Alligator mississippiensis: one gene and its partners. The protein of the gene in region 1 purifies or fractionates together with the protein of each later gene. This does not show direct contact. Links are inferred from orthologs where the notes say so. Each region holds a gene or a part of one and is shown on either strand. Other genes may lie near its edges. The genes, in order: DNAJC11, IMMT and ARMC1.

What was found.
Region 2: the proteins of DNAJC11 (region 1) and IMMT purify together in Homo sapiens (co-immunoprecipitation; 3 studies listed by BioGRID and IntAct, with this or other methods). This does not show direct contact. The link is inferred for Alligator mississippiensis from reciprocal best matches to the Homo sapiens genes DNAJC11 and IMMT.
Region 3: the proteins of DNAJC11 (region 1) and ARMC1 purify together in Homo sapiens (affinity purification with mass spectrometry; 4 studies listed by BioGRID and IntAct, counting the BioPlex papers as one, with this or other methods). This does not show direct contact. The link is inferred for Alligator mississippiensis from reciprocal best matches to the Homo sapiens genes DNAJC11 and ARMC1.

Annotation. Positions count from the first base shown.
Region 1 is NC_081836.1:18,708,108-18,717,900, reverse strand, and holds the start of DNAJC11 (dnaJ homolog subfamily C member 11), read left to right. Parts: upstream 1-5,133; 5' UTR 5,134-5,169; coding exon 5,170-5,241; intron 5,242-9,793.
Region 2 is NC_081825.1:14,761,310-14,771,102, reverse strand, and holds the start of IMMT (MICOS complex subunit MIC60), read right to left. Parts: upstream 5,360-9,793; 5' UTR 5,271-5,359; coding exon 5,226-5,270; intron 384-5,225; coding exon 310-383; intron 1-309. Other genes in the region: MRPL35 (large ribosomal subunit protein bL35m), read left to right, coding at 9,136-9,169, 9,745-9,793. UniProt on the Homo sapiens protein: Component of the MICOS complex, a large protein complex of the mitochondrial inner membrane that plays crucial roles in the maintenance of crista junctions, inner membrane architecture, and formation of contact sites to the outer membrane.
Region 3 is NC_081826.1:64,688,167-64,697,959, reverse strand, and holds the start of ARMC1 (armadillo repeat-containing protein 1), read right to left. Parts: upstream 5,785-9,793; 5' UTR 5,627-5,784; intron 3,250-5,626; 5' UTR 3,225-3,249; coding exon 3,039-3,224; intron 1-3,038.

The DNA of each region.
Region 1 (9,793 bases):
TGGGGCCCAGATTCCATGGAGACTGGCCTGGGACCCCACGGGCAGGGTGTGCTTGGCCAGATAGGATGGGACTGTGGTCAGGGCCAGGATTATGGAGTGGTTGCAGGGCAGGGCCAGGGGCAGAGCTGCAATCCACTCCCAGCATGTTCCTGCCCCTGGATCTAGTGCCTGTTGCAAGGATGTGCAGGGAATGGATTGTAGCTCTGCCCCAGGGCCTCAGCCCTGTGCTAATCACTACCCCGTGATCCCATTCCCTGACCTCCTGAGGCCCCATCCCATCTACCAGGCCAAGCAGCCCTGACCACACAGGTCCCAGGCAGGTCTCTATGGAGATCCCACCTGCCATCTGGTTCTTCTGGCAACCCTGATAGTGGGTACATGGCAGATGGCCCCGGATGCCTGGGCAGCAACATTGGCAGTGGCATCTGGAAGGAGTTGCTACCGCTGGGCTGCTGGGAAGTGGAGTCTGGCTGCTGTGCTGTCCCAGCCCTGCTGAGTGCAAGGACCAGCTAGATAGCCCACAGCCCGGGCTGTCCTCACCCTCACCATGCCTGGACCGGGTGTGGCCAAGGGACCCACTGGAGGCCAGATAAAATCCCTTGATGGCTTGGATCCAGCCCTTGGTCAATATTTTGCCCACCCCTGCTCTTGGGAGTGCTACTAAGACCTCTAGTGCAAGGGAGTAGTGCCTGTATTGAAGGCACCTCCTTGGGCACACCCTGTGTATAATCAGCTAAATGTACCCTCACACTAGTGGAATAGTGATAACCGTGCCTAGAGCCTCATCCTGGACTCACCTGCCTTTTCTATAGGTCTTCATCTGGGCTAAACATCCAGTATCTGGTTCTGGGATTGGTGAATCTAAATGCACACCTTTCATTGGCTGCAAAGTGAATGGTTAGGGCTCAAATGGACAGGAGAATCTTAATATGGATCAACAGGCACTAAGCTCCAGGTGCCTGGCAGTGCATCCTTTTTGGACAATGACAGGAGCCACATAGCTGAGTTAGCAGGCAGAGCAGGGCAGATGCAGCACTCTCCAGCTATCGAACCTCGTCTCTGCTGGGTAAAGGTTGCGGCGTCCCAGAGCGTGCATCCTGCTATTCCACACCAGAGGCTGCACATTAAACTATTTTGCGTGGATAATTTACTAGTACCAAGTTTCCTTCCTCCCAGTACTTCACCATCATCATCCACTAACCCTTCACCAAAAGACTCATGGCGAGAGTTTCGTAGATTGTGCTGACAGGTCTGAGAAGCTGGAAGCCGGTAGCCAACAATTTCCACATGAGCAGCCTAGGTGTGACGGTTGCATGACTCTTGCTTGGCAATGGGAACATGAGGTCTTACTCAGGCGACCAGGCAGTGCTATTTAGGGAGGCCCCTATAAAAGTTGAGATAAAAAAGGTTCGCCTCTCACCAACTTCTGGCTAGTTTCCCAGGATCAGCAGGATCTTCTTTTTAAGTGGGAGAAACATAACAAAAATGGACAGAAACTGACAATTGGATGCTGGAATGTTTGTACACTACTTGACTCAAAGGAAAATTGAGCTTGCAGAAGAACTGCATTAGTAGTGAAAGAGCTACACAGGTGTCAAACAAATATCGCTGCCTTATCTGAGACTAGACTACCTGACAGCGTGCTTAGAGAAAAAAAATACACTTTCTACTGGTCAGGTTACAAGGCAGACCAAAACACCAACCTACAATGGGTAGGACTTGCAATAGCAAACTCCATTGCTAATAAACTACCACAGCAGCCTGTGTTAATATCTGAGTGCCTAATGACACTGCAGATACTACTGTCCCACAATGACTTTCTGGCAGTAATAAGTGCCTACCCCCTAACACTACTTGCTGCCGAAGAAATGAAGACTCAGTTCTACAACCAGCTGAGTGACACTCTAAACAAAACATACCCAACAATGATAAAATCCTACTACTCGGCAATTTTAATGCACACATTGGAAATGACAACACCACTCGGAACAGAGTCATGGGGAAATTCGGATGTGGGTCTTTAAACACAAACAGAGAATTACACCTAACACCTTGCACAGAGTTTGACCTTGCTGTTCCAAATACCTTTTTCAATATGCCAGAAAAGTGGTTCTATTCTTGGCAGCACCCTCTGTCAAAATGATGGCACCTTCTAGACTACGTCATCATTTGTTGCAATGACTTGAGGGATGTTTACATTACCAGGGCTATGCAAGGTGCAGAATGCTGTATGGATCACCAGCTTATTCATACTCAATTGAACATCAGGATTCACACTCCTAGGCAGAAGGTTACTCCAAACCTGAACCAACGTGTTGATGTTTCAAAACTTTGCATGGAAGAGGGGAGATCCCAGTTAACAACTTCCACGCATGCCACACTATCAAACTGTGCCAATGCAAGAGCAAGCAGAACTGTTGATGAAAGGTGGGGTGCCTTTCAAACTGCAGTGCAATCAGCAGCTAAAAAAGTCTTTGGTGTCCTAACTCGACAAAATGTGGACTATTTTGATGCAAATGACAATATTCAAGCACTCCTTGTGACCCATGAAGCCATGAACAGAGTTAAACTGAACAGTCCCCCCCCCCAATCTCTCTTGTGGCTATAGAAGCCTTCAAGAAATCAAAATCTGCAGTGCAAAAAGAGCTGTGGAAGATGGAGGACACTTGGTGAATAAACAAAGCAACAGAACTACAAGCTCCTGCTAATACTAATAAAACCTGTGGTTTTTTTCAGGAGTTAAAGTGCATTTATGGACCTTGAAGAGCTAATACCTGTCCAATCCTGGCCCTCATGGCACCACCCTGCTGACTGAGCACAGTATATTAGAAAGATGGAAAGAACATTTTGCGATCCTCTTCAATCATCACGAGTCAAGTGCAAATGATCAAACAGACCCAACTAAGCAAAGACCAGTTCAATATGAACTTGAAGATCCACCAACTCTGGAGGAGACTAAGAATGCACTTATGGAAATGGCAAATGGAAAGGCAGCTGGAGCTGATGAAATCCCAGGTGAAGTCTTTAAATACGGTAGTCCTACATCTCACAAAGCTTTGCTAGACCCATTTACTTTTTACTGGGAAAATGAGGCTTTGTCCCAGGATTTCAGAGATACCAAAATCATAACAATCTACAAGCAAGTGCAAAGGAGACAGACATGAATGTGGCAATTATCATGGCATTTTGCTCCTCTCCATCGCTGATGTACTCCCTGAATCCCAGTGTGGTTTTCATTCATCACGCAGCACTGCCAACATAGTTACTCTATGCCAGTTACAGTAGAAAGTTGCCAAACAACAAATGCCCCTGTACATTGCATTTGTCAACTTTAGTATGGCATTTGACTCTGTTGAACGCTCTGCTCTCTGGTGCTTTCTTGCAAAGTTCGGCTGCCCAGACAAACTAATAAACCTCATATGCTACTTCCATGACAACATGCAGGCCCATGTATCAGTGGGTGCTGACTCATCTGCTGCCTTTCCTGTAGCCCATAGGGTCAAACAGGGCTGTGTGCTTGCCCCTGCATTACTTACTCTGTTCTTGGCTGGAGCGCTAGAAGTTGTTGCACATACTATCACTACTGGTATCACCCTAAGAACACAATTTGATGGCAGACTTCTAAACCTCTGCCGATTCAAGGCTAAATGCAAATCCCAACAAAGTAAAGTAGGATATACTGTATGCCGATGACTTAACATTTGTCACCCTTTCTGAGAATGATCTGTAACTTTTACTGAATTCCTCTGCCCATGCTGCATCCCTTTTTGGCATCCATTAGCGTGAAGAAAACCAGAGTCCTGTACCAACCATCTCCTGGCATAGACCTATCACCTCCATCACTACCAAAAATAAAACTGAACAGCAGCCAATTAAACAACATCAAGTCCTTTTGCTTCCTAGGTAGCAGAGTTACTGATGATACCAGTATTGACAAGGAACTTTCAGCACGCTTAAAGTCAGCTGCCTCAGCTTTCGGTTGCTGACAAAAAAGACAATGGACAAGATGGGGGGGTCAAAGCGTCTACAAAATGCCAAGTTTACATTGCTGTTTTGCTCCCTTGTCTCCTATACTTCTTAGAGAACTGTCCCTTTTATTGTGACTGTATCGAAAAACTTAACTGCTTGCAATAGGGCCATCTACGCAGCATAATGGGAATTAAACGGTCTGACAAAATCACCAACAACGAAGTACTATGGCTGGCAGCCATGCCAAGCGTGGAAGCCATGCTAGCACAGAGGCAAATGACCTGGGTCGGGCACGTCATACATATGGACAACAATCGACTGCCTAAGAGAGTTCTGTACGGTGAATCTGACAAAGGCAGTTAGCAAGGTTGGCCATCCCAAGCTCTGCTACAAGGACTGCCTTAAGCGGCATATACAGTCTGTCAGGCTGGAATTAATATCCTCGGAGGATACGGCCCATGACAGGCAAGCTTGGGACTCTGCTATGAAGGAAGCAGAATGAGCAACAGACCGTCATCGCGCTTCCTTGGCTGACAGGAGGAGGGAACGTGGACACCAAACTGCCCTGGCACCTTTCCTAAACCCCTTATGTGGAAGCTGATTTGCAGTATCGGTAGTAGTCAGACCCAATGCGAGTGATAGTCATCATCACACTGCACCCTCACATCTGGCCACGAGTCTTATTTCGGGGCCATTACGTGTGCTCTTGTAAGCACGTCGATTGCGCCAAAGCCCTACAAACCAGCCCGGGAAAGATCTGCCTTGGACGCTGCGGAAACCACGGGACTCCGCAGCCGCAGCCGCGCGGCGGGGCGCGGAGCGGGGCTCGGCGGTGGGGAACTCGGCTGCGCAGGGCGGGAGGCAGCCGCGGGCGAGGCCTGCAGCGGCGGGGCAGCCCCCGAGCCCGGGCCCGGCCGGAGGCGGAGACGCGGCGCCCGCTCGCAGCAAGGCGGAAGCGGCCGTGACAAGCACTGTCCCGGTTGCGGCGGCGGTGGCGGCGGCACCCGCGAGGGACCAGCCCGGAGAGGCCTCGCGCCGCGTCCGCCGCTCTCGCCTGCACCCGGGCCGGGCCTCCAGGCGCGCCTGCGCCCTGCTCACCTCGCCTCCCCCGAGCCGCCGGGGGCGCTGTGGCGGCGGCTCGGCCGTGGCCCGCTCGGTCCCGCGTCGCTCCTGCTCGGCCCGGGGTGAGAGGTCGGGAAGATGGCGGCGGCCTTGGGCGAGGAGGCGCCCGACAACGAGGACTACTACTCGCTGCTGAACGTGCGGCGGGAGGTGAGGCGCGGCCACGGCTCGTCCCGTCCCGTCCCCTCTCGCCTCCGCGCTCCCCCGGGGGGCTGCCGCGCCTTGCCGCCCCCGGCACGCGGGACCCGCGTGGGGCAGGGGCAGGGGCAGGGCCCGGGAGGTGCCCCTGTGGGGCCACGGCCACCCCCGGCAGCGGGCCCGGCTCGGGAGGGAGCGGGCGGAGCGGGGGCCCGGCCAGCCCGGGTCGGCTCTCCTCGGCCCGCGCTCCGTGGTGCTGCGTCCCGCACCGAGCCTTCGCCGCTGCCCTCTCGGGAGGTGAAGCTGGGGCTGGGTTTGGGCGCGGCCGTGCGGTGCCGCGGATCCCAGGCCTCTCATGGACAAGTACAACGACGTGGGGGCATCTGGAAATGAGACCAAGCTGAAAGTGCCCGTGACGCTCCAGGGCAACGTGTGCGCGGAGGCAGGGGTTGGTTAGCAGAGAATTAAGAAGGGAACACGCATTCCTTGGCTTGCATGAAAGTGCAATGCCTGCGGGGATCTCACTTACAGATCAAAGCCTCTTTCCCAAAACGCTCTTTCCTATGGGAGTTGTGTGGATACCTCATTTAATGGAATGTGTGGTATTTTCTATTTATTTTAGATAGTAGACTTACTGAGGCCTTTTTAAAAAATAGAAATTCCCTGCAAAATGGCCAACTGTCAGTGAGCATTAGCATTTATTTCCTTTTCAAGTCCAAAGGGAGGTAATGCCTATCGATTTGATGCGGACAAGGTAATCTGGGAATTGAAGGACAAAAGGAGAAAGAGGATTTGCATTTTGGAGGTGCAGTTTGGTGACTGTTCTGCTTGGTGACATGTAGAGATGGCATAAGAGCATTGCTAGTCATGGCATTTCACAGGGCCCTGACATGGTCAACTGCTCCTGTTGTTTCCTGGCTCCTCTCCCTTGGCATGCTAGTTATTAACCTTTGACCTCTACTCCTGACCCCATTTTCGTCATTAGTTGTCCCAAGGATAGAAGGATTGTGGGTTAGGCTACATGGGGGGCAAGGAGAAAGGGATTTGGTGGTAGGGGTCTGCTACAGACCCCCACATCAAGGGGAAGAAAGAGATTCAGGGCTCCTGAGGCAAATCTCGGAGACCATAAAAGCTAAAGAGGCGGTAGTCATGGGGGACCTAAACTACCCGGACATCTGCTGGGAATCACAGACGGCAAAGTCCCACCGCTGACGCAGGTTTCTAACCTGTGTACAGGACCTCCACCTGACTCAGGAGGTACACAGTCCCACTAGGGGGAATGCCATACTGGATCTGGTATTGGCAACGGGAGATGACATGGTAGCGGACCTCCAGTTCGGTAGCCATCTGGGGGACAGTGATCACCTGATAATAGAATTCACCATAAGACGGCGAGTGGGTAAGGTAACTAGTAGGGTGAAAGTGCTAGACTTTAGGAAAGCTGATTTCAGTGAACTCAGGCATTTAGTCAAGGACGCACTGCAGAGTAGGAGATTTGAAGAGATGGAAGCCCAAGAAGGGTGGCTTTGCCTTAAGGAAACGATCCTTCGGGCACAAAGCAAGACGATCCCCGAGCGAGGCAAAAGAGGGAAAGGGGCCAGGAGGCTTCCCTGGCTGACCAGAGAAATCCAGGGCAGCCTAAGGGACAAAAGGGGAGCACATAAAAAGTGGAAACAGGGAGAGATCACCAAAGATGAATATACCTCCTCTGCTCGCGCTTGTAGGGAGACAGTTAGATGGGCCAAAGCTGCCATGGAGCTGAGGATGGCAACCCAAGTAAAAGACAACAAGAAATTGTTTTTTAGATATATAGGGAGTAAAAGGAAGGCCCAGGGAGGAATAGGACCTCTACTAAATGGGCAGAAGCAATTGGTGACGGACAGGGGGGACAAGGCTGAACTCCTCAACGAGTTCTTTGCCTCAGTGTTCCTAAGTGAGGGGCACGACAAGTCTCTCACTGGGGTTGTAGAGAGGCAGCAGCAAGGCGCCAGACTTCCATGCGTAGACCCTGAAATGGTGCAGAGTCATTTGGAAGAACTGGATGCCTTTAAGTCGGCAGGCCCGGATGAGCTCTGTCCAAGGGTGCTGAAGGCACTGGCCGACATCATTGCAGAGCCACTGGCAGGAATATTTGAACACTCGTGGCGCACGGGCCAAGTCCCGGAGGACTGGAAAAGGGCCAACGTGGTCCCCATTTTCAAGAAGGGGAGGAAGGAGGACCCGGGCAACTATAGGCCAGTCAGTCTTACCTCCATCCTTGGCAGAGTCTTTGAAAAAATTATCAAGGCTCACATTTATGAGAGCCCGGCAGGACAAATTATGCTGAGGGGAAACCAGCACGGGTTCGTGGCAGGCAGATTGTGCCTGACCAATCTAGTTTCTTTTTATGACCAGGTTACAAAACGCCTGAATGCAGGAGTAGGGGTTGATGTCATATACTTAGACTTCAGGAAGGCCTTCGATACGGTATCCCACCCCATACTGGTGAACAAGTTGAGAGGCTGTGACTTGGATGACTACACAGTCCGGTGGGTGGCGAATTGGCTGGAGGGTCGCACCCAGAGAGTCGTGGTGGATGGGTCGGTTTCGACCTGGAAGGGTGCGGGCAGTGGGGTCCCGCAGGGCTCGGTCCTTGGACCGATACTCTTTAATGTCTTCATCAGTGACTTGGACGAGGGAGTGAAATGTACTCTGTCCAAGTTTGCAGATGACACAAAGCTATGGGGAGAAGTGGACACGTCGGAGGGCAGGGAACAGCTGCAAGCAGATCTGGACAGGTTGGACAAGTGGGCAGAAAACAACAGAATGCAATTCAACAAGGAGAAATGCAAAGTGCTGCACCTAGGGAGGAAGAATGTCCAGCATACCTACAGCCTAGGGAATGACCTGTTGGGTAGCACGGAAGTGGAAAGGGATCTTGGAGTCCTAGTGGACTCCAAGATGAACATGAGTCGGCAGTGTGACGAAACCATCAAAAAAGCTAATGGCCCTTTATCGTGCATCAGCAGATGCATGACGAATAGGTCCAAGGAGGTGATACTTCCCCTCTATCGGGCGCTGGTCAGACCGCAGTTGGAGTACTGCGTGCAATTCTGGGCGCCGCAATTCAAGAGGGATGCGGATAACCTGGAGAGGGTCCAGAGAAGGGCCACTCGTATGGTTAAGGGCCTGCAGACCAAGCCTTACGAGGAGAGACTAGAGAAACTGGATCTTTTCAGCCTCCGCAAGAGAAGGTTGAGAGGCGACCTTGTGGCTGCCTATAAGTACATCACGGGGGCACAGAAGGGAATTGGTGAGTATTTATTCACCAAGGCGCCCCCGGGGGTTACAAGAAATAATGGCCACAAGCTAGCAGAGAGCAGATTTAGATTGGACATTAGGAAGAACGTCTTCACAGTTCGAGTGGCCAGGGTCTGGAACGGGTTCCCAAGGGAGGTGGTGCTCTCCCCTACCCTGGGGGTCTTCAAGAGGAGGTTAGATGAGTATCTAGCTGGGGTCATCTAGACCCAGCACTCTTTCCTGCCTATGCAGGGGGTCGGACTCGATGATCTATTGAGGTCCCTTCCGACCCTAACATCTATGAATCTATAAGGCGTCAGTGACATCATTGGTGGCCCCCATTACTAAAGGGGGCTTGCGGTTTCCTTGGTGACCTTGGATCTGTGTTTCCTATTGACATGTTTAAAAACCTTTTGGTTTTTGGTCATGTTTCAGGGTCCTTTACACAGTAACAAATAGTAAAGCGTAGGGGCTGAACCTAGATTATGGAGTAGAAAGCAGGGTAGATTTGCACTTTATAAGCTAACTGAGGTGCACGTACATAAATACATACATGTATGTATGTATAGCAAGCTTTCATGAGCTGAAGCTCACTTCGTTAGTTGCTGTAAAAGGATGATGTACAGGGTCTTGAAAAGGTGGACCATGCTGTTGTATATGTAAACTAAAGTATAACTATAACAGGGAGCCAGGGGCTTCTGTTACTTAATGGGAAATTTGCAGCAGGCAGCTGAGTAGGAGCTAGCTGTGCCACAACAAGCAGGCTGATCTTTGAGCCCAAGGGCAACCCTTGTTCTTAATTAGTGTCACTTGCCTAGAAGGGGCAGTTCTCCTGGGCACATAAGCTCAGCACTAGTAGTCAGAGGATTCATTCTGGCCCTGCAGAAAGCAGGGAGAGGAGTCCCACAACAGGATGGCTGAGAGAGGAACTGACCAGCACCCAGGCTGCCCTAAGGTGCAAGTAGAAGGTTAAAGGGGGCTTACAGCCTGAAGGTGGGAATTATCGACCCAGGGTAGTGAGAGTTTTGTTCTACAGTCAGTGTGCTTATCTTTATTTTCTAGTTTAGGCCAGAGTCTGGGATGTGGCTATTGAGGGAGGTCTGGAGGCCATGGAGGAGTGCCTGACAGGTACTAAGGGTCAAGGACCTAGAGGGCTGTGGACTGGAGCAGGCTGATTCTGAGGGCCAAGGCTAGCGGGAGCAGTCTGACTTGGGGTCATGGATCCTGAGAGCAGAAGTCTGGGTTATCGGAAGCAGCCCAGCTGGGGAGCAGGGGTCCAAACAGC
Region 2 (9,793 bases), on another chromosome or scaffold:
GTTTAAGATCTGTTTTAAATCTCATCTGAATGATTGCTCCTCCAGGACCAGAGTCCATACTGGGGCACCAGTTCAGGAGTAGCCAAAACCAGAAAACTGCTGATTAACCACCTCACTCTTCTTGGTCAACTCCCATCCAGCCACTGACCACTGTGATGTGGCTTTGCCTGAAACCTGGTGGATCAAAGCATATGAACTTTTACTATTTCTAATTTTAATTCCCATGCTACGGGAAAATTGCAAACTAACTTACTCTTCCCGAATTAGACAAAACAGAAGTGTCAATACTGCCTATGAAACACTACATACCCCGATTCTCCTGATGTTGCATATCCACGGCACAGCTGTGATGGACGGAATGAAGATCTACCACATCGGCAATTCTAAAGAAAGGCGAGAATCAAATATTGCATGCAACTTTTTTTAAAGTCTTTAATGTTCTACTTTCAACCTAATTCAAATCTCATAAAAATATATGTTCTGGGGAACATATAAAATGCATCAGTAAGAGGTGTGGAAAAAAACAAGTAACATCAAAACAAGATTTAGTTTCCCCTAATAAAAAGAGTCTACTCTAATGACGTTACAATCACTTTCAAATTAACAACAAAAAAAACTACAATTAAAAACTTTGATTTATATTACCAATAGTATAAACTATTAAAAACCAAAATGATTTGGGGTGGGGCGGGGAAGAGAATCTCCTCCATTTTTGCTGCCTGATTATATTTTGCCCTTCACTTTGGATGGTACAACTAGACTAGCTTATTTCACTTCAGGATTCTGATGCATCAACATAACTCAGCAATAACTTAAGATGCAAACAGTGACAAGGAATGTCTAAATCTTGAAGTGATTTTCATTTGCTTTTAAAGACAAAAACATTTCTATAAATGTTCAGTAACACTCTAGATTGTGGACCAAAGCTACCATCTTCTTAGAAGAGCTATACTGAAAGTCAGTCCCTTTATGAACAATTAGAGTTTTAGATTCAAATTTTAATAAGCTAGGTAATAAAGCTTGCAATGGTATTATGTCAAGTCCTCATTCCCAATACATTTCATTTGAATACGAAAACGCTAACGGGAAAGATCAGTTAAACCAGCCCAACCAAGTCATCAGAAAAAAAAACCCTCTCCGTCTTAGCAGTTCTAACAAAAGACAAAGAAATTAATATCTAATGGAAAAGTATAGGACTTGTGTGAAGCATGCAGGTCAAAGGAAAACACTTTCTCTCCCCATTTAGTTTAGACATGAGGCAAGCTTTGCATCCTAAGAAATGTAACCAAGAAAAAGAATTTCTATTTTGATGATTTATACTTTGAAATAAATTCATGGTTTAAGATATCCTTACTCTATTATGATATTAGTCCCATAATTCTTCAGACAGGTTAGGACATGAATCAGGAACACAATGCACTGATTTCTTATTCTTTCCAAAACTGCATCCAACTCCTTTTAATTAGCAACAGAAATCTATGTGCCCAGTGACAGGAAGTGCAGTTGCTTACTTGGGCAAAGCTTCTTTATAAAGAATAACTTGGCTGCAGACATAAGTGAAGTTTATGGTGTATGATGAGGCAGTCAGGAAGCACGATTTATGATTAAAGTCATCAGAAAGTAAACCCATCAGGTGTTGATCCTTTGTAAACACAATACTTGTCATTATTTCTTTTAGCAGTTACTACTTCAAGAGGCTTTTCCATTTATCACTTTATACCGGGGCGGGCAATTATTTCAGGCAGAGGGCCACTTACTGAGTTTTGGCAAGCCATCGAGGGCCACATGACAGGTAGCCAGGGGCAAATAAATATTAATTTTCTAAATTTTTTAGGGGCCACACAAGCTGCATTTTGCCCACCCCTGCTTTTACAAAGATGCCACGTGATTCAGAAAACCCCAGTCCTTCGTGTTCACTCACTTTTTTTTGACAACAGAAATAAGAATAGAGCAATTCCTCAGGAAGACCACCAAAGGTCAGAAGGTTTTTAACACTATGGATTCCTATTTGAAAATCTGTGTTTATCTTGTGAACCACGTTTGCACATCTAACAGCGCTAACATTGTGTGACACCCTTGAAAGGATCTCAATGGACCCCAGGATGCTGCGACACCTTGGCTGAGAACTGTTGGTCTACACATAACATTCACAACTTTGGCCTGTAGCACGCAGCTGGAATTCAGACATACTCACCAGGTACAGATAACAATGTGCCTACATCAACCTCCCAGTGAGTCAGATCCAGATACAAAGGAGATATAGTAATGAAATACACCTGTTTGTACATTTTCATGATAAACAGTGTTCCAGAATCTTGCACACAGGCAGAAAAGCTAGTTTCTCTCTTTTTACACAGCTTTAGAACTGCTATTACCTTGAATTGGGTTCTTTCGGCAATTCTTCCAACACTGTATTAGCAGTAGTTACAGCTCAGAGCTGACCCAGACAACTGCAGGGTAGAAATTATTGCAACCAGCCACTATCAGTGCTCCCATTGGTCGCAGTACACTGGTGGGACAACTTGACATAGTCTTAACTTGGACAAGACTTTACTGACTGCCCTTAAAAGATGCAGCAGAGGTGAAGAAAAGGTGGAAGCCAGGCAAACCTTCCCTACTAAAACAATGCTGATGTGTTTTGGTAAGCAGAGACTGCTCCTCATCTCCTTTTGAACAAAACACCTTTGCTAGGACAGGTAACAGTGGCATTGTTTCACAAAATGCTTTGTGCTCTTTTGTCCAGTTGACCAACAGTTACTACATCGAGTCTAGATTAATAATTCATAAAGTCACTAGTTAATCTCGTGTCCCACTATTTCACTGCCGTAAAATGACAGGAAATCTAAATTGACACACGATGGTCTCTCCACAGACTTCAAAAAGCTTCTTCCTGATTGTTTGTTGTCATTTCGTGAGTCAAGAACAACAAATGTTTCATTTCTGCTTACAGGAGCCAAGATACCAAAAATGACTTTTGATACAGAATTGAACTGACAGCACAGCTCCATCAATCTGCATCATTCTCTGGGGCAGAGGTGACCAACCTGCGTACCATAAATGCCATGGGGAGCCTCTGTGTGTTGGCACACAGATCAGAGGTAGGAGCAGAGCAGCAAATCAGGGAGGAGGCGGAGACTAGTGTGGTTCTTGGGGAAAATACAGGGCTTAATTTGTGGCAAGCGTACCAAAAGCAAAAAACAAACAACCCCCCCACAAAAAGCTGTTTATTTCTCAGTTATCTCTGTGAGGCAGCAATTGTCTTTATTTGCACAGCACAATGTCTAGAGCCCAAAGCATCTCCAGACCTTATCTAATATTTATATTCCAGGAAGGAGAGTGACTCAGGAAACGCTCAGGGAAGTGCTACAAATATGTCATGCGCTTCTGGCATCTGCAGTAGCCCCCCTCTGAAGTCAAGGAGGTGGAGGCCATCTCCTTTCAAACTTCATCTCTAAGAGCTACTTATTTATAAAGTAACAAAATAAATGGGAAGGCCACATGCAACCCTGAGATGATTTACACACCCACATTCCAGAATACAGCCCCATTTTTGAGCTCTACAGTTCAACCCTGACTTTCCAAAGTTGGTAAAAATTCACTCAAAAACCTCAGGACCAGAAAGGAAGGGTGTGTGTGTTTAAGACTCCTGAAACACATCCAGCAGCCTCAGAGTCATTCTATATTCCCACCTCACAGCTCAAACTTTCCACAGCTTACAAGCCTGGCCCCTTAAAGGTTGTCAGATGACTTGGCATGGAGAACGCTGCAGCCTTATACAGCAACAAAGAGCTGCTGCAGTAAAACAGCTGGCCAGCTCCGAAGCGGTTCCACATGAACTATGAAGCCATCGTGCTTCGATAGTGGTTGTTTTGCTCGTTGCTGAGCTCTGCGGTTGGAAAACCCTAATGTACACAGAAGAATGCAGCAAAACCCCAGGACAGTTCAGTTTATGCGCTTCTATAATGAAAGATGCATGACATTCAAATCAAACACTTGTCTAATCTACACAGGCTTAAGATCCCCGGACAAGTTTAAAAGACAGCTTTAAAAAGAAAAAGCACCAAGCTCCTAAAATCTCCCAATGCGAGACAAGCTCAAAGCTCCAGAAATTATTTTCAGTTGGCCAATTTTTGGAACAACAATTCTCTGTGACAGTCACAACAGCCAGGTCCCTGTCCTGACCCCACCCTGCCACTGGCAGCAGGGGTCAGGCTCCTGGAGAATTAAGTCACAGCTACTCCTCGCTTAACGTCGTAGATACATGCTTGAAAAATGCGACTTTAAGTGAAATGATGTTAAGCGAATCCAATCATGTCACAGTAGTTACCTACTAGCAGGCAGCGGCCAAACAACGTTACAACCAAACACCGCACGACTTTCAATGCGTACTTTCTGTAACAGATTACCGACATAATAATGAAACGCTGTTAACTGGGACGACGTTCAGCGAGGAGTACCTGTTCAGGAATGGAGATGGCAAGGCTAGTCACAGGACATGAGGCTATGCTTTAAAAAACTCACAGCCTCAAACAGAAGCAGCTCTCGCACATTAGGAGCTCTGCTATTTATAGGATACTTTGGTGTTTCCCAAGAGACGAGCGCCCTGGGGCCAGCAGAGGTTATGACATAAAGAGGCAGACGTCGGTGCACGCCGAGACACGGGGCCTTTTCACGGCTCCAAGGTCGTGACTGGTCCGTCTGCAGCGCTGGGAGCAGAAGCAGGAGAACGGAAGTGGCAGGAAGTCACAAGCAGGCAAGGTCATGTCCTTCCAGAGCCATGAAGGAGTCCAGCCGCTCTGGTATTTTTAGTGACCCTCGGCTCTTGTGGGGTCGGACTCTCTGCCCCCCCCGCAGTGCTTATGCCGCCTCCTGCTCCCAGATCCTGATCTCAGAGCCCCCCACCGCCAGGACTACAAGCCCCAGCATGCAGCGCGGGTGCAAAAGCGCGCGCGCGTTGCATGCTAGGGCCTGTAGTCGCTTCAGTCCTCCCATGCGCCCGGCATAGTTCGCCTCGCTGCCCGCGTCAAGCACGAGCCCAGCAGCCAATCAACGCCTGCCGACCCCCTGCCAGTCAGAAAAAGCCGAGCAGCGATTGGAGAACGCGCCGCCGCATCCCGCCCCCGGTGTCTCACAGCCACAAGCTCGATTCATTCCATGGGCCGCCGGGGGGCGGAAGGGCGGCCACCTCCCAGCGACAGGCCCGGCCCTGCCCTGCCTTGCCTCACCTGCGCGGCTACCGCGACCCCCACGCGCTGGCACGCTCGCAGCATCTCGCCGGGCGCAGGGCGCGGCGGGTGACGGACGGTGGTAGGCAACCGCCGCGAAGCCTGCGCTGTCTCCGCCCCCTCAGCGTGACCCCCAGCGCGCAGGCGCAGGCGTAGGCACCGCCCCCGGCTGCCGCCGGCGGTGAGTGGCAAGAGGAAGCGGCCAATCAGCGTTCGGAGAACGGGCAGGATGCAAATCGGGCTCCGCCCAGCATGCGTGGTTACGCATGCGCGCGAACCGCTTCGGGGTGGCCAATGAGAGCGTGGCTCAGAAGCGACAGATGCGGGAAAGCGCGGTGGGAAAACGCATGCGCACTGCTGGCGCCAAGCAGGGGCTGTGGGAGTGCAGCCTAGTGCAGTGTCAGGGCTTGTTGAGCAGGGACAGGGGCTTCCTCGCTCCCCCTGGGGCTGGGGGCATGAGGGGCTGCCTACCCCCATGGAAGTGAAAGCACCACTGCTGGCAACCAGGGTGCAATTTATGGGGGCTGAGCCCCCCTCCCCTCTCCCATAAGAGCTCTCCTGTAAGATTTGAAAATCACAGCCTGGGGGGTCTCCGATCGCATGGCTCCTTCACTTACGTGGACTTGTTAATCAATGAACCAGTGTCATTTTTTTTGTTTGCACACCTCCCCCACGAGAGCCAAAGTGTAATTTGAGCCCTGGGTATAAGGCCACGGCAGAGGGATGGTCGGCTCCAACGGGCAGGCAGCACCTCACATGTCCTTGTGCGGGTTCAGTTTGAGGCACGAGACGCTTGCGTGACGTAAATGATAACGAGGGGGCTCTGGTCTTTGCTGCAGCAGTCATTCTCACTTGGAGGATGAGGGTGCGCAGGGGGCAACGGGCATTGTCAAGGGCTTGGAAAGCAATATCACATGAGGAGGGGCTGGAGGAGCGACGCCTGTTCAGCTTGAGGAAAAGGTGTTTCAGAGGGGAGAGGATAGCAGTCTTCAAATCTTTGAAGGGCTGCCATAGAGAAGAGGGAGCACACGTTTTCTCTCGCTGCGGAGAGGAGGATGTGAACTAACAGCTTGATGTTGCAGCAAAGCAATTTTAGATTGGATGTCCAGGCGGACGTTTTCACCGCTAGACTAGCGAGGCGGTGGAATAGACTCCATCGCTGGAGGTGTTCAAGAAGAGTCTGGGCAGCCACTGGCCAGGGACGATCTAGGCATAGCGATGCCTGTGTTGAACTATGGGTATTTCCCATGCTTCTGGGCTTTGCTGATTCTTCCACCCCCTCCCTGCTGCATGTATCGAAGGAAAACTTAAAAGCACTCAGAGGTGTCGCGTGTTGGCTACAGCCAAAGCTGAGGACTTTGACTGGGGTATGCCTGTGCTCCTGCTGGGACCAAAGGACCGGAGGTTCCTGGCTAGGGGGGCTTGCCTCTGTGCTTAGGGTCAGGCTGATTGCCACATTTGGGGTCAGGAAGGAATTTTACCCTGTGGTCAGATTGGTACCGACTGTGGTGGTTTTGTGCCTTCCTCTGTAGTGGGGGCATGGCTGGAAAAAAAGTCTTTGCTATTAGAACAGGGAGGCAGTGGAATAGACTGACTGGCCAGGGATGTTGTGGACTCTCCATCACTGGAGGTGTTCGATTGGGCAGCACTGGTTGGTGGGTATTTCCCATGCATCTAGGCTTCGCTGGTTGCCCCTGCCCCTTCCTTCTCTGTTCTGCTACACATCAGTGTGTTTAAGCCTTCCTCAGACACATTGGATGTTGGCTACAGCTAAGACCAGGGTCGTTGATGCGTGTGCCAATATTCCTGCAAGGAACCAGAGGTTCCTGGCTAGGAGGCTTTGCCCATCTTGCTCAGGGCCAGACAAATCACCACATTTGAGTCTAGGAATGAATTTTACCCCATGTTCAGTTTGGGCTGGACTGTGGGGGTTTTGCCTTCCTCTATAACCAGGACGTGGCCCTCAACCCAGAATCTCTTGGTTATATACTAACAAAATTTCATAGGAACAAGATGTTGGCTGCCTTGGCTCCTCTGCTTTACCCGTGGCAGATTAGGGTGCTAGGTCTGTGTTGTGTCCGGGTTGATGGTAGTCTTATGTCAAGTTTAGATTATGGTATTTATGGAATGGTTTGGATAGGGATGATCCTGTTTCAGGCAGAGGGTTGGACTGGACTAGATGACCCCTGGAGGTCCCTTCCAGCCCAACTTCTCTCTGTTTATGATTTAAGGAAGGTGCTTCTGTGGCCGAGGTCCAGCAGACTCTGGATTCAGCAGGCATTTGTGTTTGCAGCATCTGGGTGAGAAGTGAAAAGAGGTGAGTAAAAGCACTGCCTGTCTGAGCAGGAGTGGTAGCTAGGTATTGGGGACTGGGAGAACAAACTGCTTCATAATTACAGACCTGGAGAAAATAAACCTCGTGCTCTTTTTGGCAATACTGTCATTCTTTGCAGGTTGACGATGCCCTTGAGCTGCTCCATGTTTATAACATTTAGTCGGCTTCATTTTGGGATAAACTTGCTCTTCTCTCATTTGAGCCCAAGGGCACAGAAACACCGACAAGCCTCTGTGAGGGGAAAGGAGAGTGAGGCATTCCCTTGCATCAGGTGCTGCTTGGAAACTACATGTGTGCGCTCTTAGTCCATAGTAAGTGCAAGAGAATCCACAGCAGCTGAGCCAGGCATGAAAGAGGGCTGAGCCTAAGGAAAGAGGAGACACAGGGGCAGTTACTGCAGAGCTGTTGGCATGTGATGAAACCCAACCTTAGGGTAACTTGCAGGTGTGCTCATGCCCTTTATGCAAGGACTCGATTATCTAGCTGAGTTGATCTTGAAGGCTCTTGGAGTCGATCCAAGGATGGGGTGGAGGACTGAGTGCCCCCATGCACGCATGTGCGCTCCCCACCCCAGCAGGTCAGTCTGTGGGGGAGGGAAGGGACGGGGCTAGACTGAGGTCCCCACAGCAAGGGACAGTGCCACAGAGGCAGGAGCAGGGGTAAATTGGGTGGGGCCCCGGCCGGGTGGGACTTGCCTGCTGGGGAGGCGCGGCCCTAATATGCACATGGCATATTTGTAGCATTTTCCTGCATGTTTCCTGAGTCACTTTCCTTCCTGCAGTATAAGCATTAGATAAGGTCTGGAGATGCACTGGGCTCTAGACTTTGTACTGTGCAAGTACAGACGATTGCAGCGCGCAGGGCCGGGCCAGCTGCACGCACAGGTCCCATCCTCCACGCAGCGCTGCGCCAGCCCGGCCTGCCGCTGGGTCAGCACAGGGAGCCCGGCCTGCGGCCACATCAGACCCCCAGACCGACACATGGGACTGGGCCATACTTACCTGGCAGGGGAAACGCCATGTATCTGGGTCCAAGAAGGCAGTTTTCCTTAAGCCTCCCTGGGGGTAACTTTTTCTGGCAGTGTGGTTTAGTACCCGCCAACGTGTTGAGGCTTAATACACATTTTATGGAAAAGAGAAGCTTCTCCCTAGCTTGCTCCTGCGGCCACATGGCCGAGGGCAGGCGAAACTCGGGGGCATCCACCCCCCCAGGCTCCAGGCTTGGGCCTGCACCAGGATACCCGCCAAAGAATTTGGAAATATCTGACGCCCCTGATGGGGGTGGAGGATGGTTGCCAGTTCTAGTAGAGCCACTTATGGTTCTGGAGTGACTCACGGATTTGGACTTGGTTTGGCTGGGAACAGGAACAATTTCTTTAATAAAATAAAATATGGGTTCGGTCCAGCTCCCATGGCCCGGCCCTGCAGGTCGGGGGTTTCGGAAGACAAAGGCAGGAGGGAGCGCCCGCGGGGCCGCCTTTGCATTCCCACCGCCCGGCGCTGGGGGGAGCCGCTGATCAGGGCCGTGCGCCCCGCCCCTTTGTGTGTCGCGGCCGCCGTAGCACGTGATGCCAAGATGGCGGCCGCCAGGGCGCTCCGCGGTGTGTCGGGTCAGTGCGGGGAGAGGCCGCGGGCGGAGGCGGGGGGGGCGTCCCGTCCCTCCGCGCTCGTGTCGCTCGGAGCGAAGAGAAAGGCCCGGTCCGTCCCCCTGCCCCCGCCCCGCTCTGCTCGGAGCCCCCAGACGTGTCCAGTCCCGAGCGGACGCCCCCGGGCCGCCTCCCGCCCCCCCCCCCCTCCCCGCCGCGGGGCCCGTGACAAGCCCCCAGCCCGCGCGGCTCGAGCCTCGCTGCCGTGCGAGTGGCGCAGGTACAAGCCGGGGCGGGGGCCGGTGGCAGGAAGTAATTTGGGGAAGCGGTGAGTGGAATATGTGCCCGGAAACCCCACGAAGGGGACTGAGGAAAGCCAAATATCCCGGAGCAGGGGAAATATCCGGCGCTGTTTCCCGCCCCCATTGGAGTTCAGGGAGGCTTTGCCCGCTGCTGGGTTTGTGAAAAGTGTCCGAGCCGGCACGAACAGGTCTGCAACCAAACGTCGCCGCGTACAGCAGCACGGCCCGAGAGGCGGTTTCGGCACGCCTGCCGCTGTCCTGTAATTAAATTCCTGGTGTTGTCTGCTCTTCCCACAGGGGTCTTCAGATCTCTCGTCCCTCTAATCTACAGCGGCTCCCGTGGCGT
Region 3 (9,793 bases), on another chromosome or scaffold:
AGTTTATTTCCAACAACTACAGAAGAGCTTTGCACTCACTCTCCTGAACAACAAAAGAGAAAAGTTTGGGAAAGGTTAAGGAGACTGCAGCAGAACTTCAAAAGTGCCTTTCATTTAATGACTTTACAGTTTTCATCTGGCTTTTATCCAATTTAGAGCCCTGAGACTGCTGTTAGTCAAACCTAAAGTGTGTGTTTATTTGCTGCCTCCAGTTTTGCTTCCAAGTGTTTATAGGTAGATGTTTATGATACAGAGCTGACCAGAAACTTCTAGCAACTGCATATGTCCACACTTTCGCAGTTAAAATCTGAATCTCACAATTTATTTAATGTACTTTTGCAATCCCACTGTTATCTGTACTTTGAGTAAACAGATTAGGGGAAATATGTAAAGATCAATACTGCGCTCTACTCTGTACACCTACTGGGGTTCCAGGTTCTCTCTCATACGTACATATACGAACAATAAGCTGATAACATCCAGATACCATAGGACCTTTACACAAGTACTTGGTATGTTGCATAACTTGATAACATAGCTTGAAAGTCTGTTCATTCCTTAAGTGGGATTCTCTCTCAAGTATTTAGCCTTCAAAAGCATATTCTTTCAACCGCTTTCCTTTGCTGACAACGTTTGTCCTTCCAACACTAACATTTTTTCTTAAGTCTAATTTAGTATGAGTGAATCTCCACCAGACAGCAAAGATTGCAATTGGAATTAAAGACTTATATTAAAAACATACACTTTGCTATTGGCAGAACACTAGATTATCAACTGTATTGCTTATTGTTTGACACCAAAGAGTTTTAATTTAAATAACACCTTCACCAACATTTGATTCAAAGGAACAGATTTTTTGATCAGTTAGTCCCTTACTGATGATGATAATTTCTATCACAAATTAGATTAAAACCAAGGTATCTGAAAGCCTAAACAAATAAATAAATAAAAAGTTCCAAACACCTGGAGCTCCTATTTATTTCAGTAAGTTTCTGGCTGCTGAGTCAATTCTTTTGAAAATCAGGTGATTAAAGAGCTGGATCCAGAGCCCACTGAAGGAAAGACTTGTTAAAGGTCATAAACTTTGGATCAGTTTTCTTTTAGCAAAATACTTGAGCATGTAATTAAACACAAGTGCACAATTTATTTCACTGAAGTCAATGGAACTGTTCACGTGTGCCCTAAAAAAATACTGAAGTACATTACTGATTTAAGGCTTTTTTGACAGCCTGTATATGAATCCAGGAACCTAACTTCAAGTTCCTATTTTTCAAAGTCTTACTAAAATTTAAGAAAAGTGGTTAGGCACACTTCTGATTTTTAATGTCTTAAAGAAAAAAATCAAAACCTGATAGCTTGGCTTCTCTTTGTTCATCTGACTCTTTAAAGGGTGGAGAGAAGTAAGATGAGAAACAAAAGAGTTTGGTGAATTTGTCTATATATGGTATATGAATTCTAGTTGATTAACTTGCTATCAGCAGCGCTTCTGAAGAGATCTGGGAGCTATAACAGAACACAAACTACATATAAGCCAACAACGTCCTACTGCTGGGGACAGAAAGCAGAAAACTACATTTTTGGCATGTGTAAACAGGACTGCTGAGTGCAAGACACAGTACTGGAAAGGCTTCAGCCAAAAAGCTGAGTCCAGTTTTAGGCACAGGGTAAAACCCCCCCCTCCTGGCACAGCTCTCCCAAGACCTGCTTTGCTTTGCTGCTGCCTGGAAGTGGAGGGGAATTTCCCCCTCCCCTTACTTAAAAGGTATTGTTTAATAAGTGGTGAGCTTTACTTCCTTAAAACAGCTAAAGAATAGCCTCCATGTTGCTGTTCAGTGGTAGAGGCAGGGGAGAGTCCACTCTGAAAAGCTTGAAATTGGCTCCGATAAACTTGCAGAGAGGGCGCGTTTCCACCCACCAGAGCCTGAATTCCAGTGGCCCCTAGTTACAATGAAATATAGAGTGGGTTTGTTTAATCTTCAAACAGGAAGACTGAGAGAAAGCATAACAACAGGTTTCAATGTCAGAGATGAATGCAGCGAAGAGATCTGTAAACTGTTCTCCGTGTTCACTGGGAATGGGAGAAGTACTTTACAGAGTTTAAATTGCAGCAAGGAAAATTTCAGTTAGACACAGAGAAGTACTTTAAAACAGTCAGTTTTAAGTTAAGCACTAGAATAGAGAGACTGAGAAAAATCTGTGAAATCATAAATTTCAAGGGGACCTTAAGGGTTATCTAGTCCAGACTACACTACAGATGTAGGATTCACTCCTCCTAAATTGTCAGTCAGGTTCCTACCCAGTCTCTTCTTAAAAAATTCCAACAAAGGAGATTCCACAACTTCCCTAGACAACATTGTTACCTCATTTTTACAGTTAGGAAGCTTTATCTGATATTTAATATAAATTTGCTTTTCTGCTGCTCAAATTCCACACACCTCTCCCATACCAACCATAACAGACCTCAATCCCCTGCCATCTTGACACAAGATTGTTCACCTGCTCTCAAAATGCATCACTGAAGGCACTTAAGAGCAACTTAGAAAAAAAGTGTGCACCAGGGATAGTTTAGGGATAGCTGATCCTGCCTTGAGGCCCAGGTATGGACTAAACCTCCTGAGATCATCTGCATCCATATTTTCTATGATTCAAAATGCTTACATGACCCATCCAGAACCACAAATGCACCATCATCACAAAATGCATTCCTACATCTGTATGCAACAAGCTGAATTTTGGCTTTTCTCTTTTTAACCCAAAATTAAACGGTCATGTTCTGGGGGGGAAAAAACACAACAACTTTGCTTTATCTATAATCAGTTGTTTCTTTCTAAACTCCATGAATTATCTCCACATAGTATGTTGCTGCAAATTATCTTTTATAGCACTTATCATGAAGCAAAATACAGTAGCAAGAGTAATCTCACATAAAATTTGTTACAGCAAATATTTGTCTTTTTAAATACATAAAAAGAAAGAGATGCAAGTAACACACCATTAACACAACCCTTAGTCCCTACTGATCAAATCAGATTACTTACTAGCAAAGCTGAATGAACAACTGGAGGGTTGGGGTGGTCCAGGAACAAAATAAGGCCAGGCAGACATCCCTGATCCTGAACAATAGCTCGTCTATTTAATGGGTCAGCAGCTAGATCTCGTAACTGGTTAACTACTGCTAAAGCATCAGGCTCCTCGCTCATAGTGGAGTTCATAGTGGAGTTCATTTTTCTGTATCATACACAGAAACACCTGTTAAAAAAAAGTGCATTAATAAAAAAAATCATTGTTAACAAGTCATTGATTAAACTATAGCCAATCCAGAACAACATGCCCCAATTTGTTCTTAGAAGTGTAAACGCAAACAGAATTCTTCTTAAGGTCCCTATACACTGTTAAGACAGAAATTTTAGAATTCACACATATCGAGTTATTTGCTTAACTGATTTGTTTCCCACATATCATTTTAGGCCTGTCAAGCTTCAAGTGAAATACTGTTTATAGTATTGATACTTACAGGTGAAGAATCAGTTGTTTTGTTACAACTACACTGTCGCTTACACTGCTCTATAGAAATGTACATTTCTAAGTCTATATCCTATAAAAAGGATCATTTGTAAAGAAACACACATTATCTGATCCTGTAACACATTTTTACTGTCAACAAGAAATCTCAGGCCAAAACTTTTACCTTTCCATCAGGCATCTCCACTGTTTTATCTTATTCAGAAATTACATATCAAAATTCTATAATCCAACACCAATTCAACTGCTCCTGGTCCTCTTAAAAAGCATTGCCCAACTTGCTTCTACTAGAGTCAAGCAGAACCAACTCAGTTTCAAATGAAGACGATTAGTCTGATGCTGTTAAGCTAACAAGTTTATTTAAATAAAACTTCCCATCATAGCCAGAAACTCCTGATACCCCTCAACAGTGGGTCTAATGTGAAAAGTGAGATCAAAAGGTAAGAGCCTTTATTGTTTTGCTGAGACTGAACCCTCAGTGCAATTTATGGTCCTGATCTTCTCAGCACCAAACTCATGTATTTTTTATGCACATGAGTATGAATAAAAAGACACTGTTAATTTTACTTTTCCATTTTGATTTAAAAGGCAGCATGCTGTTCAGAGCATTTTAAAGTTAATTCTCTTGTTTTTCTGTTAAAGCTCTTAACTTTTTTTAGTAAGAAACTGATCGTGCATGTAGAGATACCAGATATAGAAAACAGACACTAACAAAGAGACAAGAGCGAGAATGGCAGAACTCTATTTTGTATCATAACTTTGTAGGTACAATTTTTCCTGTAACGTGACTGTCAGTTTGGTGGTGATTACTCAAGTCACTAATGTTTCTTTACAACACAAACAACTTAAACGTTAATTTTTCATGACAAGAAAATTAATATAGATCAAATAAGCTACAAGTTTCATGCAGTCATTACTTTGTAGTTTCAAAGCATTTTAAGCACAATTTTCAAAAATAAAACCTGAAGAAACAGGCAAACATTATGATTTCTATTCTGTAAAAGGCAAAACACCAGAAAGAGAACAATCTAGAGCAGAGACGCTCAGCCTCCAGCCCGTGGGATGAATCCAGCCCAACAAACCATGTCATCTGGCCCACAGGGCTCCACACAGGTCCAGAAATTTGGGGGCGGGGGAGCATTAGCAGTGTTAATTGTTTCCCAAGTCACTGCAATTAATGCTGCCACCACTCTCCTGCCACCAAACTTCCAGACCTGAAAGGAGTCCCACAAGCCAGATGATACTACCCCACTTGCTGGCGCATGATCCAGGGATGGATCCAAAGGAGCTGCACTGGTATGCTTGCACCTCCTTTGATTCCTGGGCCACCCAAAATTTAAAACTAACCACATAACAGCAGAGCAACATTTGCAGTCAGGCAGGGCCAAGGGAGCCAACTGATTCCACGGCTCATTATAAACTGCCCGATCCTTTCTAAACTGTTCACTCCACAGAAGTTAAAAATCCTCTTTTCCTTTTAACAGCCTTCATGCTCCACCTGCCAAACTATCCCCTGTTCTGCAAGTCTGCTGTGCCACCTACCCCTGGTGTCAAACCCCCTCTCTCACAGCCCAGCAGATTGACTTTTAGATCATCCCAATGATGTTTCATTTGTTTTTGCTTCAATCTTAAAACCTCATAACACAGCCCTGGAGCGTCACTGATGCTTCAAGCTTTTTTTTACCAGGAGAAAACCAGGGGTCGCACTCTACAGCAGAATGCACCTCGCCACAGGCACCCCCCTGCACAGAAGTCTAGGCCTGCCCACAGTGGGGTCACTCCGTGGCCAGAGCCGCCAGGGCAAGGGGTGCCCACAGGCGGCACCAGGCCATGGGAACTGACCCTAGCCCAGCCCCGCACTGCTCATCTGTCCGAAGAGGTTGACTCCCCGGCTCGAGAGCTGCCCAGAGACTTCAGTGTGGGCAGACTGGGGCCCAGCGGCGCCTGCAGCCCCTGGTGCCTTCACAACTTTACACAGACGGGGGACAGGGGTCACAGGCTGCCGGCCCGGCCCCAACACAGCGCGGCACAAACCGGAGCAGCTTCCCCGCGGGCACCACTCCCGCCCTCCCGCAGGCAGGCGAAGCCCGGGCCGGCCACGTACCGCGGCACCGAGATCTCCGCGGCTCAGCGCGGCGCGCCCATCACGCGAGGCCTGCGAGCGGGAGGCCCGGGGCGAGCAGCGGAAGGACGAGAGGGCCGGGCCCTTCGCTACATAAAACCCCCGCTGAGGCTCTCGCCAACCCCGCCACCTCCGCACCCCCCGCTCCCTGATTGGCTGAAACGAGCAGCCATTCGCATCCCGCCTTATTACGCCGCGCGCTCATTGGCCACCCCCATGTGACCTCTCTCCTGTCCCCGCCCCAGGGCGTTGTGGGTAGAGTAGGCTCTATGCTAATAACGGGGAGGAGCGAACTAGATGTCCCGGAATGCACAGCGCCGGGGGACTTGCGCGGCGGGCCATGTGGTCTCTCGGGAAACCGCGAACGGAGCGCTGCTCTCTTCCAGCTCTGGGCGGCTTGGGCTTTGCCTTTCGAGCTCTGTCCACGGCTGGGTCATTGCATGCTAGGATCTGCACTCCCTGAGCGCTTATTGGAGCACTGCATGCTGGGATCTGCAGTCTGTAGTCGTTTATTGAGCCGTTGCATGCTGGGATCTGTAGGCAGCCTTCTGGGTTTCACATCAGTACGTAACATCGCACAGGTAGGATCTTTTTTTGCTGTGGGCCCCGGTGGCTGCTGATCTGCACAGGCAAGGCTGAAAAAATGGAGAGTGAAGAGTATAGTGGGAAAAGGGAGGTTTCATCATAGCCTGCCACTACCGAGCATGCCGGAAGGATCTGACTCCTTTGCTTTGAGGTGATGAGGGCCATAAAGCTGCTTCTCCTTGGGGAAGATCTAAGTCTTGGTGTCAGTCCAGTTTCATAGGAAGCTGACAAACCCTTTTTTCAGAGGTAGGGATACACTAACAGGAGGGCACTACACTGGTCACGCACGCCCCTAGACATGTGGTAACTGCGTGGAATCTGCGTGCTTTGCAAGTGAAATGCAGAATAAGTTTAGCAGAACTTATTTTTATTTGTAAATGTGCCTGTTTTTCTTACAGTTCACTGTCAACTCAAAATGGTGATTATTTTTCAGATTAGAAATTGTATTTACTTGTTTGATCCTTTGTGTCTTTTGCATTTCTATTAGTATAAAAAAATTACCTTTTGGAGGAATTCTTCTACTTTCGGGGGGGGGGGGGTTCAGTTACAGCTGTTGCAGGTGAACTACACCCCACCTCGCCTGCCAAAAAGCAACATTTTGCATTGTATTGGAGCTTTATTATTTCTGGAAACCTGGGTTTCATAACAAAAATTGCATTATCAGCATTTAAATATAACTTCAAATTTAAACACATTCTTTAAATCCAGTGTTTTGCAAAGTTTGGAATGCGAATGCCTCTACCTTGAGAGAATGCAAGCGTCTTGTGCTGTTTACGACTCACCTATTCAGATGTAAAAGGCAAGAATTTCTGACAGCAGGGGTAGGCAACCCCCAACATCGGGGCCAGAGTGTGGCACGCAAGGGCATTTTGCTTGGCATGTGCACCTCAGGGCAGACAGTGGGGAGGGGGCTAGGGCTGCGCTGCCACAACAAGGATCGAGCCCCGTGCAGCTCCCCCACTGCCTGCCCCTGGCATACCAACATCTTACAAGTTGAGGTTGCAGGTTTTTTGCTCAAAAAACATTGCTGACCCTTGTCTTACAGTGATGCCCTCAGACAAAGAATGCTTTGCATTTGAAAGCTTGTCTAACTGTATCTCGGCAACACAGGTTGCCTAATAAAATACATTACCATAAGACATTCTTGCCTCTGGCATAATTTCTGGACCGTCACAGCTGCAACATCACTCTTAAACACTACCTATTCAAACATACGTATTGTTGTAATATTTGAGAGCGTTTAATAAGATTATACTTTCTTGTATACAAGGAGAAAGGAAATAATTAATGATATTGACAAAAAGGTGTCATCAGTGACACTTCTTTTAATAAGAGGTAGTTGGTCCAGTTAAGTTTGAAGTCAGGCAGAGGGCAGGGTAGATTTGCTCCTTATGGGTTAATTACATCAGAAATGTATAGCATAAGTTTTGGTAGTCAGAGATCTTACTTCAGAAGGAATAGCACTTGATGTAGGAAGCTCTCTGCCTATGAAAGTTTATGGTACTTACCTTTGACAGTCCAGAAGGGGTAAACTACCCTGCCTTCTCTTTCGGTTAACCCCCACTAAAGAAAATAGAATAGGCCCTTTTTGAGGAGTTCAGGCTCTGTGAAGTTCTCAGTGGGTGCACCTACCACATTTACTGTGCAGTAAATATGGTGCCATATGCTGACTTGAGCATAAATTTGATACCTGCATTATGCAGGTATACAATTTATACCCATTTAGTTACTGCGCAGTAATGCACATATAGATACCATACTACACAGTAACACTGTGTGTGTGGACTGACTTGGGGCTAACTTTAGTCCCAAGGTAATCCACACACGTGTTAATACACTTTAACACCTACATGTGTAGATGCTGGCCTATTGCTGCTTGCTGTGCAGTAAATCTAAGCTGGTATAAATGCATGTGTAGACATACCCAGTTACTCTCACCACAGCTTTTGCAAGTCTTCCCTCCAACCAGGGGACCTGGAGACTCAGCCTTTTATTTCCCAGTTTAAGGAAAGTCAGAGACTGGGCAGGGGGGCAGGGCTCCGGGCAACCCTCCCACTTCCACATCTCTGCACTTGTCTGCCTGCCTCAGCTATGGTGCCAGGCAGCCCCACCAGGGAATCTGCCCGTCACCTGCGCGTGTGCCAACAAACCCTACTGCCAAAGAGATGAAGCAATGATGTCACACTAATCACTGCTGAACTGACCAATCGGGTCTCTCCACTAGGGCTCTGGTCACGTGACAGAACCTTGGCTTGCCCGCTTCAGTGACAAGGGAGCACGGTTGGCCCCGCCCCCAGTGAGGAAGGGGAGAGCAACTCGCCCGGGGGCTGTCGGGTAAGTCGCCCGGCTCTGGCACTGGGGCGAGGGGCAGGGAGAGTTTAAGTCCCGCCTCTCTCAAGCGCGGCGCTGATTGGCCGTTGCGCTGCTGGAGCGGCTTGCACTGCGAGCCGGGTCTGGGCAGCCGGCGAGCGGAGGAGGCCCCGGCTGCACGGCGGGTGAGCTCAGGGCCCAGCGACAACTCGCACGCGGGGGGCTGCCGCGCCCTGCCCTGTCCTGTTCGGCCTCCAGCGCCTGCTGGGTCCGGGGGGGGGCGGGCGGGCGGGCTGGAGGCCGCGCCGCGTTGCGGAGCAACCCCAGCCCCAGGCTTGCGGCCCGGGCGAGCGGGAGCGGTTCTGAGGGAGCCGAGCCCAGGCTGAGAGGGCGCAGCCCGAGGTACAGGCCGCCGTGGGCCTTGGCCGGGACCCCGCCCCTTTGGTCCCCTTCAGGGCCCCGAGGCCGCGCGTGCTCGGGGCTCATGTCATTGCCTGGCAAGGTGCAGGGAAGTGTGGTGCCCCCCCTCCCCTTGAGAGGAGGCAAAGCCCAGCATCAACCCTCCCACATGGGCATCACCTCCTCTTTCTTGCCTGGCAGAGCCAGCAGTTTATTTGGGTGGACGAGATGTGGTGTCTTTTTTATCTTTTATAAAGATAAACTTTTATAAATTTTATCTTTATAAAAGATAAAACTAGCTTTTATTAAATCAAAATGTAGCTGTGTCTATGTTCTTCTACAGGTATTTCCCATGCTCCTGGGCTTTGCTGCTTGCCCCCTTCCAATTTCTGCTATACATGTCCAGGTATTTTTAAGCCTTCCCAAAGGCATCGATTGGGTGTGGGCTACAACCAAGTGTGGGTACTTTGACTGGGATGTGCCAATGCTCCTGCTGAAGCTTCCTGGCTAGAGGATCTTGCCCTTCTGCTCAGGGTCAGACGAATTGCCATATTTGGGGTCAGGGAGGAATTTTACTGTGTGGTTAGGTTGGTATGGACTGTGGGGGCATTGTCTTCCTCCGTAGCGGGTCATGTGGCCCTCTACCCGGGATCTCTTGAGCATGTATTCTTATGTCTTTTATGTAGAGTTTAGATTATGGTTTGTATGGAATGGTTGGGATAGGGATGTTTGGATGAGATGACCTCTGGAGGTCCCTTGCAGCCCTACTTCTCTATGATTCTCTATAAAAATTGATATCCCCCCCACTGATTTTAATTTGATCTGGAAAATAACATTTTAATGTAGAAATGTGGT